Linked DNA regions of Sus scrofa. The protein of the gene in region 2 interacts with the protein of the main gene of each other region in a pairwise test. Links are inferred from orthologs where the notes say so. Each region holds a gene or a part of one and is shown on either strand. Other genes may lie near its edges.

What was found.
Region 1: the proteins of NAV2 (region 2) and RBM15 interact in binary tests that used the Homo sapiens proteins (3 or more experiments, as listed by UniProt). The two-hybrid records come from large-scale screens. The link is inferred for Sus scrofa from reciprocal best matches to the Homo sapiens genes NAV2 and RBM15.
Region 3: the proteins of NAV2 (region 2) and ING5 interact in binary tests that used the Homo sapiens proteins (3 or more experiments, as listed by UniProt). The two-hybrid records come from large-scale screens. The link is inferred for Sus scrofa from reciprocal best matches to the Homo sapiens genes NAV2 and ING5.

What each region holds. Positions count from the first base shown.
Region 1 is NC_010446.5:109,788,726-109,792,903, forward strand, and holds the start of RBM15 (putative RNA-binding protein 15), read right to left. Parts: upstream 2,831-4,178; 5' UTR 1-2,830. UniProt on the Homo sapiens protein: RNA-binding protein that acts as a key regulator of N6-methyladenosine (m6A) methylation of RNAs, thereby regulating different processes, such as hematopoietic cell homeostasis, alternative splicing of mRNAs and X chromosome inactivation mediated by Xist RNA.
Region 2 is NC_010444.4:39,265,998-39,268,683, reverse strand, and holds part of NAV2 (neuron navigator 2), read left to right. Parts: intron 1-1,304; coding exon 1,305-1,430; 3' UTR 1,431-2,686. UniProt on the Homo sapiens protein: Possesses 3' to 5' helicase activity and exonuclease activity. Involved in neuronal development, specifically in the development of different sensory organs.
Region 3 is NC_010457.5:140,263,388-140,267,537, forward strand, and holds the start of ING5 (inhibitor of growth protein 5), read left to right. Parts: upstream 1-1,320; 5' UTR 1,321-1,393; coding exon 1,394-1,430; intron 1,431-3,474; coding exon 3,475-3,546; intron 3,547-4,150. UniProt on the Homo sapiens protein: Component of the HBO1 complex, which specifically mediates acetylation of histone H3 at 'Lys-14' (H3K14ac) and, to a lower extent, acetylation of histone H4. Component of the MOZ/MORF complex which has a histone H3 acetyltransferase activity.

The DNA of each region.
Region 1 (4,178 bases), on a different chromosome or scaffold from region 2:
AAGGTTCTATTAACACAACACAAATTTAAAGTTAAGCCACTTTAACTAGTGTTATAGCCAATCCAAATAAATTAAGCTCCCAGGTGATTATTTTTGACCTAAATTGACTTGCTTAGATGACTCACTGGTCAAAAAAAAGACCAAATAAGTTTAGTTTCCTAAGCCTCACGATATAGACTGAGGGAGCATGAAAGTTGAAGGAGAAATTCAGGGAGCCTATACTGGTATGTGTGGCAGTGGCCAGGGCTCTGCTAGGCTTAGTGGCTTGCCATTCAAAATACCAGAAAGCTTGATGGAAGCTATTGCCCACATGTGGCTGCAGCAGGAAGGCTTAGCTAAGCGGGGGTGGGGGGGGGGTGACAGCCTATCTCGTATCAAGAGGACTGGTAAATTAATGGGTAGACAGAAATAGCCTGGATTCCATTATCTCTTTTGATAACTAGAGTCAAAACATAATTGTGTGTGTGTGCACACGTACAAGTGTCCACGACAGAAGTGAAAAATGACATGGTATGTTGATCCAAGCTATAGTTAAAATAAGTGATTTGTTTTCATTTTCTTTGTGTTCTTTAAAGTATGAAGTGCCTTAGTGAGGGTGTATCAGCCTATGTTCACACATGTGCTTTAGAGAGGGCTGAAAGAGGATAAAAGTGACCCATGGTTTAGAAAGCCAAGACTGAGCACTTTTTCTAGTGTTGGTGATGGAGCTGTTGAGGTCCCGTCCAGGCTTTCATCTGGTCTTGTGATCTCTGGCCAGATTTGCGAGGGTAACTGGCCCGGTGAAGAGGATCTTTCAGCGGTCAGGAAAACACAGATTCCCTGAGCATCAGAGCAGCATGTTGATCTCTCCTTTCAATGCCTTGTCAGAAACCAAAAAATAGTGTTGAGGAAAGTAGCCATTGCCTATTCTGACCTCAATGCTGACCCCTTGGAGCCTTGGAGCTGTACAACTCAAACGCCCTAGAGGAAACAGCCCAGGCGGAGAGCAAACATAGCTAAGCTGTCTAAATGAAGTGCTTTCTCCGTCTCCTATAAAATCAGTTTTAGATTAAAAAGGAAAAGCAAAATAAAAGTTATGCACATGAAAGAAAGTTGTGCAATTAAAAGGTATCAGTGTTTTCAATCAAATGTGCTCTTTCCACCCCTTCCTTCCTATGTTTTATTATTTGTGTATTCTCAATACACACAGAGACAGTTATGATTACAATATGAAATTTGTCCTGGGCGCTGAAAGCCATTTGATTTCCTGGCAGATGCAAAAAAAAAAAAACCCTGAAGCTGGGGATTTAAAAAACAATTCTCCCGCTCATAGTAGTAGATTAAAATTTTCTGTTTCATTTTCTTGCAAAGTGAGTGGTCTCCTGACTGTAATGCTTGTTTTGTTTGCAGAATACGTCTCTTTTACCCATAGACATATATGCAATAGCTAAAATAGCAAACAATCACTTAGAACACAGTTTGCATCCTAAAGTCATTTATTTGTGGTTTGTGGGGGTTTTTTTTTAAAAAAAAGCTTTATTAAGATATAATTTATATACCATAAAGTTTACCCATTTAGAGCTTACAATTCATTGGTTTTTAGTATACTTAAAGAGCTGTGCGTGTGGCTCATCCTGCAGCACTGTTACAGAAAGCCTCTGCTATAATTTCTCCTAGGTGACTAAGCCCTAATATAATTATCTCTTTCATTTATTTAGACATTTTATAGGGCAGTAGTTAAGAGCATGAACTCTAGAACCAGCTAGCCTGGATTAAATCCCAGCTCTGCTGTGGGTCTCAAAAGAGTTACTGTTAATCCCTCTGAGCCTTTATTTTCTCATCTATAAAATGGGAACAATCATAGAACCTCTTTACTGGGAGGATTAAAAGGGTTAAAATATATGGTTGGCATCCTCAGAGTCAACCAACCATGGGTCATCTGACTGTACAAGGAGCTTAGAAGAGTGCCTGGCACATGGTAAGCATATATTGCTATCACTAGTATATTTTCTCTTTGAACTTAAGTACGTAGAATTGAATTAATCACAATCCTTAGTTCATGACACACAATCATCAGTGGTTCATCTATGGGCCTTTAAACTTTTCACTTAGTCAAGAACATAATGAATACCCATGAACCTATCATTCAATCCAACAAGTAGAAAGTTACCAATAATCTGCATCTACCTAAATGTTCCTCCCTTATCCACTGCCTACCCTCATAGATAGCAACTATCCTGAACCTGGTATTTAGCAATCCCTTGTTTTGTTTTAAAAACTTAAAAAAATTTTTAAGGAACTTTAAGGAATCCATATATGTGTATGCGTGCAAATGTGTGTTCACGCACATGCACATACATGCGCCTTAAATGTATGTTATTTTAGTTTTGCTCGTTTTGTAACTTCATACTAACTTGTAATCTGAGATTTGCATTTTTCACTCATTATGTTACTATGACTCTTTTTTATTATCAGAAGACTTTCAAGAAATGGATCATTTCCTTCTCTTTTGATGTTCTGAGATTGTTATGCTGCCATATGATCTAATACGGCTTTTCAAGTTCCAGCCATAAAATAACCATTCCAGTCACCCAGCGGGTGAAGATGGAACAACATGTCCTCCTCCTTTTAAGACACTTCCCAGAAGTGACTCACTAAAACTCCGCTTCTATCTCATTCACCAAAACATAGACCTGCAACCACACTTAGCAAGGAATGCTGGGGGGTATAATTCTGTATCTTACTTTAGCCCAACTAAAAATCAGGAGTCTTAAAAAGAAAAAAATTTATTGAAACTTCGTTCATTTACAATGTTGTGCCAATTTCTGCTGTACAGCAAAGTGACCCAGCTCTACATTCTTTTTCTTACATTATCTTCCATCATGGTCTCTTCCAGGAGATAGTTCCCTGTGCTATACAGTAGGACCTTATTTTTTAGCCATTCTAAATGTAATAGTTTGCATCCACTAATCCCAAACTCCCAGTCTATCTCACTCCCTCCCCCTTCCCCTTGGCAACCACAAGTCTGTTTTCTGCCTCTGTGAGTCTGTTTCTGTTCTGTAGATAGGTTCATTTGTGCCATATTTTAGATTCTACATGTAAGTGATATCATATGGTATTTGTTTTTCAGGGGTCTTATTTCTAAGGAAAAGAGGGAGAACAGGTCTTGGGGTCACCAACAGTCTCTTCCACAACTACCTACAGGGTGAATTTCAAGACACAATGTATATAAAGCTGATGGTACATACTTAGCAAGAGTCAATTAAAACAGTCATTTTATGATTTCCCTTACATTATCCAATTTAATCCTCATAGTAATCATATGCGTTAGGGCAAATATGATTATCTTAATTGCAGACTTGGAAACTGAGATTTAGAGAGGCTAATTACAGCTGTGCCAGTGGTGGTAATTTTTGTTTGTTTTGTTTTAAAGAAAGAGGCAGTAGAGTCAAAGGGAAAGGAGCAGGAGCCCAAATCTAGAGTCCTAGCTTCTCTTGACAAAATCTGCCTCCCATAAAATCCTAGAATTCTATGTTCTGTGACTTTCTGGATCTGGCACATAAATCCGCAGGGTGTGGGACAGAACCTGAGGCCAGTAACTACCACTGTGGGTCGCTTTCCACCATATCCCGTGTGAACCTGGTTGTTGGAAACGACATGCTCTTCAGCAGCAGCCTCTCCTTCCCACAGGTTGAAATCTGAACAAATAAATGAGATTACATAACTCACAACTAGATAATAAAAATAAAAGCCAGCCTTTACTGAGTAATGACATACCAGGTGCTCTGCTAAAACTTTCCTCCCATTGGCTTGCTTTAGCCTCGCAACAACCTGTGGAGATGGATAGGCTTATAATTCTCTCTTTTTTTTTTTATCAGTTAAGGAAACTGAGGTTTAGAGAGCCAATATAATTTACAGATATTTAAGAAGAATAATATATGTCCTATAGAATTATTTGTTTTTTTTCCCAGTCTGTGAAAAGCATTTGTTTTGAAGTCATCCTTACATATTATGGGTGACTCCCCAGTGTTCATTCTCCCCTTCTTTGCAGTACTTTGACAGGAAAATATTTTATAACAAATGATATAGACAATTCCTTAGGTAACTAATGTAGTGGGAAAATACATAGTAACTGTGTTAGTATCTGCCTGCTTTAAGAATGGTGCTTTACTATTTACAATAGCCAAGACATGGACACA
Region 2 (2,686 bases):
CTGGGCATCCTGGGAGGCAGCTGGCCAGAGTGCAGCTGGATTTCACACCCAGCTGTACCAGGTCTCTCAGAGAGACCCTATCTTCCTAATTATCAAATACATACACACGTCATTTATGGTTATAAATAAAGTCAAAGTAGTGTTTAGTTCCTTGTCTCCACGCCCACGCAAATGACCAGGAGACTATAGACCAGGGGATATACGAGGACACAGTCCTTAAACTCTTGTTTAAGACAGATGATGGTGGAGTTCCCACTGTGGTTCAGTGGGTTAAGAACCTGACACGTATCCATGAGGATGTGGGTTCGATCCCTCGCTCAGTGGGTTAAGAATCCATGATGTCATGAGCTGTGGTGTAGGTCACAGATGCAACTCGAATCCTGCATTGCTGTGGCTGTGGTGTTGGCCAGCAGCTGCAGCTCCGATTTGACCCCTAGCCTGGGAACCTCCATCTGCTACAGGTGCAACTGTAACAAGAAAAAAAAAGAGAGAGACATATGATGGTGATGATGATAGCGGATTTATCACACTTATTGAGCAGTTACTATGTGTGGGCCCTGTTCTAAGGGTTTAATACACATCGTGTCGTTTTGTTCCCTACTTCACCCTATGGGATACCTGCTGCTATTCTCTGCATTCTGGAGAGGAAGTTATGGTGGCTCAGATATATTAAATGATCGCCCAAATGTTTCTGTATTGGAATCCAGGCCTCTCTGGGCCCTGAGGCTCAGCTTGTACCTGGTGCTGCCCTACCCTGACCTCCCCATCGAGGCCTTGACAGGAGCCTGGAGCACAGGTGACTCCAGGCTGCCCTCTGGCCAGAGCTGGGGTACAGATGGGCTTGATGCTCCTTGAAGGGGGAACCATGTGCTTTGAGGTCAGTGGTGCTGGCATCCCACCCAGCCTGAGGACTCTGTGTGGGTAAGGTGCCCCTCCCAAGTAAAAAATAAATATCGTCTTTATAGGGGACCTTCTATTCGGTTTTCAGTGCTCTACATATATCACCTTAATCCACACCGTAACTGCATAGGAGAGGTACAGTTATTCACGTGCAAACAGTGAAGAAACTGAGGTGTAGAGATTAAGTAACTTGCCCAAGGTCCTGCATCTAGGAAGTGGTGGAGCCCAGATTTGAACCCTGGAAGCCTGGCCCAGAGTCATGCTCTTGTCCATACTCTTATCTGCCTTCACTGTGGGCGGCAGTCCCCAGGTGAGTCTGGAGGAGGTGGCATGAACTTCTGAGAGGCCAGAGGAGGGGGACTGGCTGGATTGAAAGCCGCTCACGCTTTCTGCTCTCTCCCCAGATGAACATGCTGATGAGGCTGCAGGAAGCAGCCAACTATTCCAGCCCCCAGAGCTACGACAGCGACTCCAACAGCAACAGCCATCACGACGACATCCTGGACTCATCCCTGGAGTCGACTCTGTGACGGGGGCCGGGCCACGGCGCCTGCCCTCCTCCCCACTCCACCCTCCCACCCTCTCCACCTGCATCCTCTGCACCATCCTGAAGATGCCCTCCTGAGCCAGCCCCTGGCTGCGGCGTGAGCGCTGCAGGAAGACCCAGCCCCCCTCGTCCTCCAGCCCTGACCTGGGTGCGGGCATCCCGGGCCAGCCGCCTCGGCCCACTCCCTTCCTCAGTGAGAACTGCACTAGCTTCTGTTTTAATTATTGTTTTGCCTTGTTGCTGTGACCTCCCTAAGACACTGAAAGATACTTCTCGGGAAAGGATCATCACCGTTGAAATAAAAGGGTGGAAAAAAAAAAAAAAGAAAAGAAAAGAAACCCACTTGAAGCTCCGAAGCCAAACAGCATCCTGTCCAGAGACAGAAGAGACTAGGGCAAAGTTGGGAACGGAAACCACAGGCTTCCCTGGAGCACAGCTTCCTGCAGCCCAGGTCTTACAGCCTCCACCCCATGTCCCGCCATTGCCCCCCGACCCCGCCAGCCACACAGAGATCTGGTGCAAGCAGGGGGCCCAGAGCTGCATCCCATGGAAGCCTTAGGAAAACCCGCGCTTTCTCTTTTTTTTTTAAATGGTGCTCTCCTTCCCGAGCGGTACCTTGCCTGTTCCGGTTCACCCCCACCTTTCAGATGCATCAGCCTCCGGTTCATCCATGAGCGAGAGTGAAGGAGTGAGAATGTGACCAAGCAGAAGTCGCTGTCACGGCAGAACAGCACGTGTCTGCGTCCCTCTCGTGTGTAAGCCAATCCGGTCTTGTTCCTGCTCTAACACTGTGTCCAGTGAGAACTGGTCTACTTGGACGAACTGCTCACCCCTTTGAAAATGAGGTTGAGTTTCTCCTCTTCTGACTTTTGATTTTGAAGATTTTTTTTCTCCCTCTCCCTCTGCCTCCCCTCATGGTCAGAAATCCATCCTTTGGTGAACACGAGAGCCGCAGGAGTTGGGTTTGGGTTCGGTCCTGCTGAGTTTTCATTTTCAATTGCCCATCCTCCCCGTTCTGCACACACGCCGCCTCCTGCTGGGGCTGGGGTCACTGTGTCCCTGGCTGGTGGACCAGGACCCCCCATCCTCCGCCGGTGGGCGAGCGGGACCTTGCCTTTCCTCCTCGTCCCCAAGGCCGCAGGACACACGTCGCCACCTCCAGCGTGCCAGCCCCGACCTCAGGTGGGGTGTGAGGTCACCTCGCAAAACACTTGCACTTTCCCCAGAACCCACACGACA
Region 3 (4,150 bases), on a different chromosome or scaffold from region 2:
TGAGAGTCCAGGGTTAGCTCTGTGGCAGCTCTGGGTTTGACTCCTGGCCCAGCACAGTGGATTAAGGATATGGAATTGCTGCAGCTGTGGCCATAGGTGGTACAGGTCACAGCTGCAGCTCAGATTTGATCCCTGGCCTGGGAACTTCCACATGCTATGGGTGCGCCCCCCCAAAAGCTTATTACTAAAAGAAAGAAGTCAATCTGAAAGGGCTACATGCTGTTTGATTTCAACTACATGACAGTCTGGAAGAGGCAGAACCAGAGACCAAGCCAGGGGCTGGGGCAGGGAGAGAGATGCATGGGTGGAGCAGGCCATTTTAAAGGCAGAGCAACTATTTTGTATGAAACTGTATTGGTGGGTACTTAACATAGTCTTACCACACAGAATGACTCCTAATGGAAAATCGATATGGTTTCATCAGTTGTAGTAAATGTACCCCAGAAATGGAAAATGTTTTTTTATTTTTTTAGGGCCACATCCGTGGCATTTGGAGGTTCCCAGGCTAGGGGTTCAATTGGAGCTGCAGCTGCCAGCCTACACCACAGCCACAGAAACATGGGATCTGAGCCATGGCTGAGACCTACACCACAACTCACGGCAACGCCAGATCCTGCACCCACAGAGCGAGGCCAGGGATCGAACCCACAACCTCATGGTTCCTAGTCAGATTCGTTTCCTCTGAGCCATGACAGGAACTCCGAAAATGTTCATAAGGGAAACTGTGTGTGTGTGGAGGGGGTATATAAGAACTGTTTCCTTCTCAATTTTTCTGATAACCAAAAACTGCTCTAAAAATAAAGTTATTAATAAAAACACCTACTTAATAAAGAAAGTGGGTAGTATGCAATTAGCTCCGCCAGCGTGTGTGTGCAGTTTCACATCAAGCATTGAATCGGGCCAGAACGGTTGCATGGAAACTGCAAACATTTGGTTGAAAGGTGAGCAACATAATCACAGTTCTGTTCCTTGGGGAGGTTGGAAATTTTCCTTTCCCTGAACAGCTTGAATTTCTATAACGAAGGTAAAATTGACAAAACAATGAATGTGCTTCCACTTTTAAATATCTGCCTGGGGTTTACGGAAGAGTTCAACAGAAGGGGTGTATCTTTACACCGGCATTTTCGCTGATGAAACGGCGCCACCCGCCACCCCCACCAGCCCCCGAAAACCTCCAGAGGCCGAGCGTGCTCGCGCACCTCGCAGCCCCGCACCTGCTCCGACCGCCCCGCCGCGACCCCGACCGGAAGCCGGGGGGCGTGCCCAGAGGAGCCCCGCCCCGGCGTCCGCCCAATCAGCGCGCTGGGCTCATTAATAGTGACCACGCCGGCCCCGCCTCCGCCTCCCGCGGCGCCACCGCCCGCGCAGACCCAGAGCGCGGCCGCGGACGAAGATGGCGACCGCCATGTACTTGGAGCACTACCTGGACAGTAAGCGTCCCCCGCCCCACCCAGGCCCGCCACCCACGCCGGGGCGCCCCCGCCGCGCCTCCTTCGCGCGTCAGGCTCCGCACACGGACCCCGGGGCTCGTGGGGGCGGCGGGGCGGCCCGGCGGCAAAGGCAGCGGGGGCGCGCGCGGGGCAGGCGGGGCCACGGGGGAGGGGCGCGCAGGGGGCGCGGCACGGGGTCCCGCCATCACGGCCGCGCCAATTCCAGATGCGTCACGGCGGGGAGGGGCCGGCGCGGCCGGGGCGGGGCCAGCGCGGCCCCGCCCTACCCTCCCGACCCGACCACGCCCACTCACCGAAGGCTCCGCCCGCGACCAGGCACCGCCCACCGCCTCCTAGGCACCGCCCGCTTCGACGTATGCCCCGCCCTCTCCACCGGGCCTCGCTCCTTCCCAGCGGGGCCTTGCCTTACCTGGTTCCCTGCTCTTCCCCACCGAGGTGGCCCACCAAGGTGGTTGAGACCCAGTCCTCTTGGACTCTGGGCCGGGTTTGGGGGTCCCAGGGCCTGGCGAGCTTGGAGGGCCTGGATTCCTTGCCTACTTGTGCTGTGACCTGGGAATTGCTTTCGAGTCCCAGTTTGTGCATCTACTAGGCATACTGATGTGGAGGGTCCCCCAGGGCACCTGTCTTTGTGCAGGGGGTTTGGGGGCGCAGCTTCCAGGGCTGGGTAGGGTGTTCAGGGCAGTGGTCATCACCACTGAGCCATAGCCATCTCTGGAGGACTCCTGAGCAGGTGGTTGTTCACGCTTTTCACAGAGGGGGTGGTGTTGCCTGCAGAGGCTTAGTAGCTTGTCACAGTTGAGCACTGGAGAGTGGAGACCCTAGCTTTAAACACTGCTGCCTGGCTCTGGCTGGGAGTTGGCCTGGGTGGGGGCTGGGTCAGGTGGCTCTGGAGCACTGGGTGTTCAGAGTCACTCTGGGCTGGGAGCTCCACCCGAGGTTGCTGAGAGTAGGGCGTGACCCCCTGCTCTGGGGAAGATGGCGAGGATCCAGCCCTCCCAGGGGGTTGCTCAGTCCTGGCCGTTTATTCTGCTCACCTGGCCCCCCGTGAGCACAGGGTCCTGGGTGGGAGAACACAGTGGAGGGAGAGGTTTCCCCAGCAGTGTCATTAGGGGGCCCGCCCTAGGTGTCTGCTGGGTGGCACTGCGGCTTGCCCTTCTCTGGCCTGGAGCCTGCCTGGTGGGCCCCTGTGGAGGGACTGAGGGACTTGAGTTCTGTCCTGTGTGGGGCTCCTGTGTGAAGGCTTGGGACCTTGAGCGCCGGCTGTGTTCCAGGAAGGCAGACATGATTCTTCCTTTTCCTGAAACTCACTATTGAGTGGGGCAAATAGAAGTTTCCAGGCCATGAAGGAGCCCAGGAGATCATGACAGTGCAGGGGTGGCACTGTTCTGGCAGCCGCACTAGGATAGCAGGGGGTCCACTCGAGGGCGTGGTGGGCCTGGAGGCCAGGATGGCATCTGTGCTGCTCCCTGGGTGGGCTGGGAGTGGGGCTTGGAGCAGATGTAGCTCCTAAAGTGATCAGCTGCGGCGGGGCCGAGGCTGGACTGAGAGGGCTGCGTGCAGGTGTGAGAGCAGCGGGGCAGGGCCCTCCACCTATGCTGTCCGTTGCCGTCTGTTTAATTTTAAATAACCCTGAGTAAGAGGAGAACTTGAGTCCCTCTGCATACTTGCCCGTTTCAGGGGCTTGGTAGCTCCATGTGGCTCCATCCTCATAAAGTCCCACGTGCAGCACTGGCCGGCCCCCGATGCCCTGGAGTTCAGAGTCAAGTGGAGGGAGATGGGGGGGCCTCCGGGTTTGGGACATGTTCCCTGGGAAGAGGTGTCTGCCGGGGAGGGGTGACCTGGGCCTTGGAGTGGAAGAATCCCACGGCATCTTCCTGCCTCTGCTTGCACCTCGTTTCTGCTTTCACCTCTACCTTCTCGAGCTTCTGACAGCCTCTGGAGCGTGTCAGCCTCTTACCAGCATGTTCAGAGTTTGGCACAAGTCGCTCAAAAAGGATATCTTAATCCTGTCTTTGTGTTTCAGGTATCGAGAACCTTCCCTGTGAACTTCAGAGGAACTTCCAGCTGATGCGAGAGCTGGACCAGAGGACGGAAGGTGGGTTCGGGCCTCTCAGCACAGCCAGAGCTGGGCCCTGATACCCTGGGGACTGGAGCACCAGGATCCTGGGATGGCACCAGTCCTGCAGGGGACCTGGTGTGGGGCTGCTGTCCAGGCCCGTGCCCTGGGTGGTGTCTCAGGGAGACTGCTGATTCTCTTTTCTTTGCTTTTCTTTAAGGGCCACACCCACAGCATATGGAAGTTCCCAGACTAGGGGTTGAATTGGAGCTGCAGTTGCTGGCCTACACCCCAGCTCACCGCAAAGCCAGATCCCCGAGCAAGGCCAGGGATCAAACCCGCATCCTCATCGATAGATTGGATTCGTTTCTGCTGCGCCGCAGTGGGCACACCATGATTCTTTAAAATCAAACTTAGGGAGTTCCTCTCGTGGCTCAGTGGTTAGTGAACCTGACTAGCATCCATGAGGATGCAGTTTTGATTCCTGGCCTCCCTCAGTGGGTTAAGGATCGGGTGTTGCTGTGAGCTATGGTGGAGATCGCAGATGCGGCTCGGGTCTGGCATTGCTGTGGCTGTGGTGTAGGTCGGCGGCTACAGCTCCGATTAGACCCCTAGCCTGGGAACCTCCACATGCCGCGGGTGC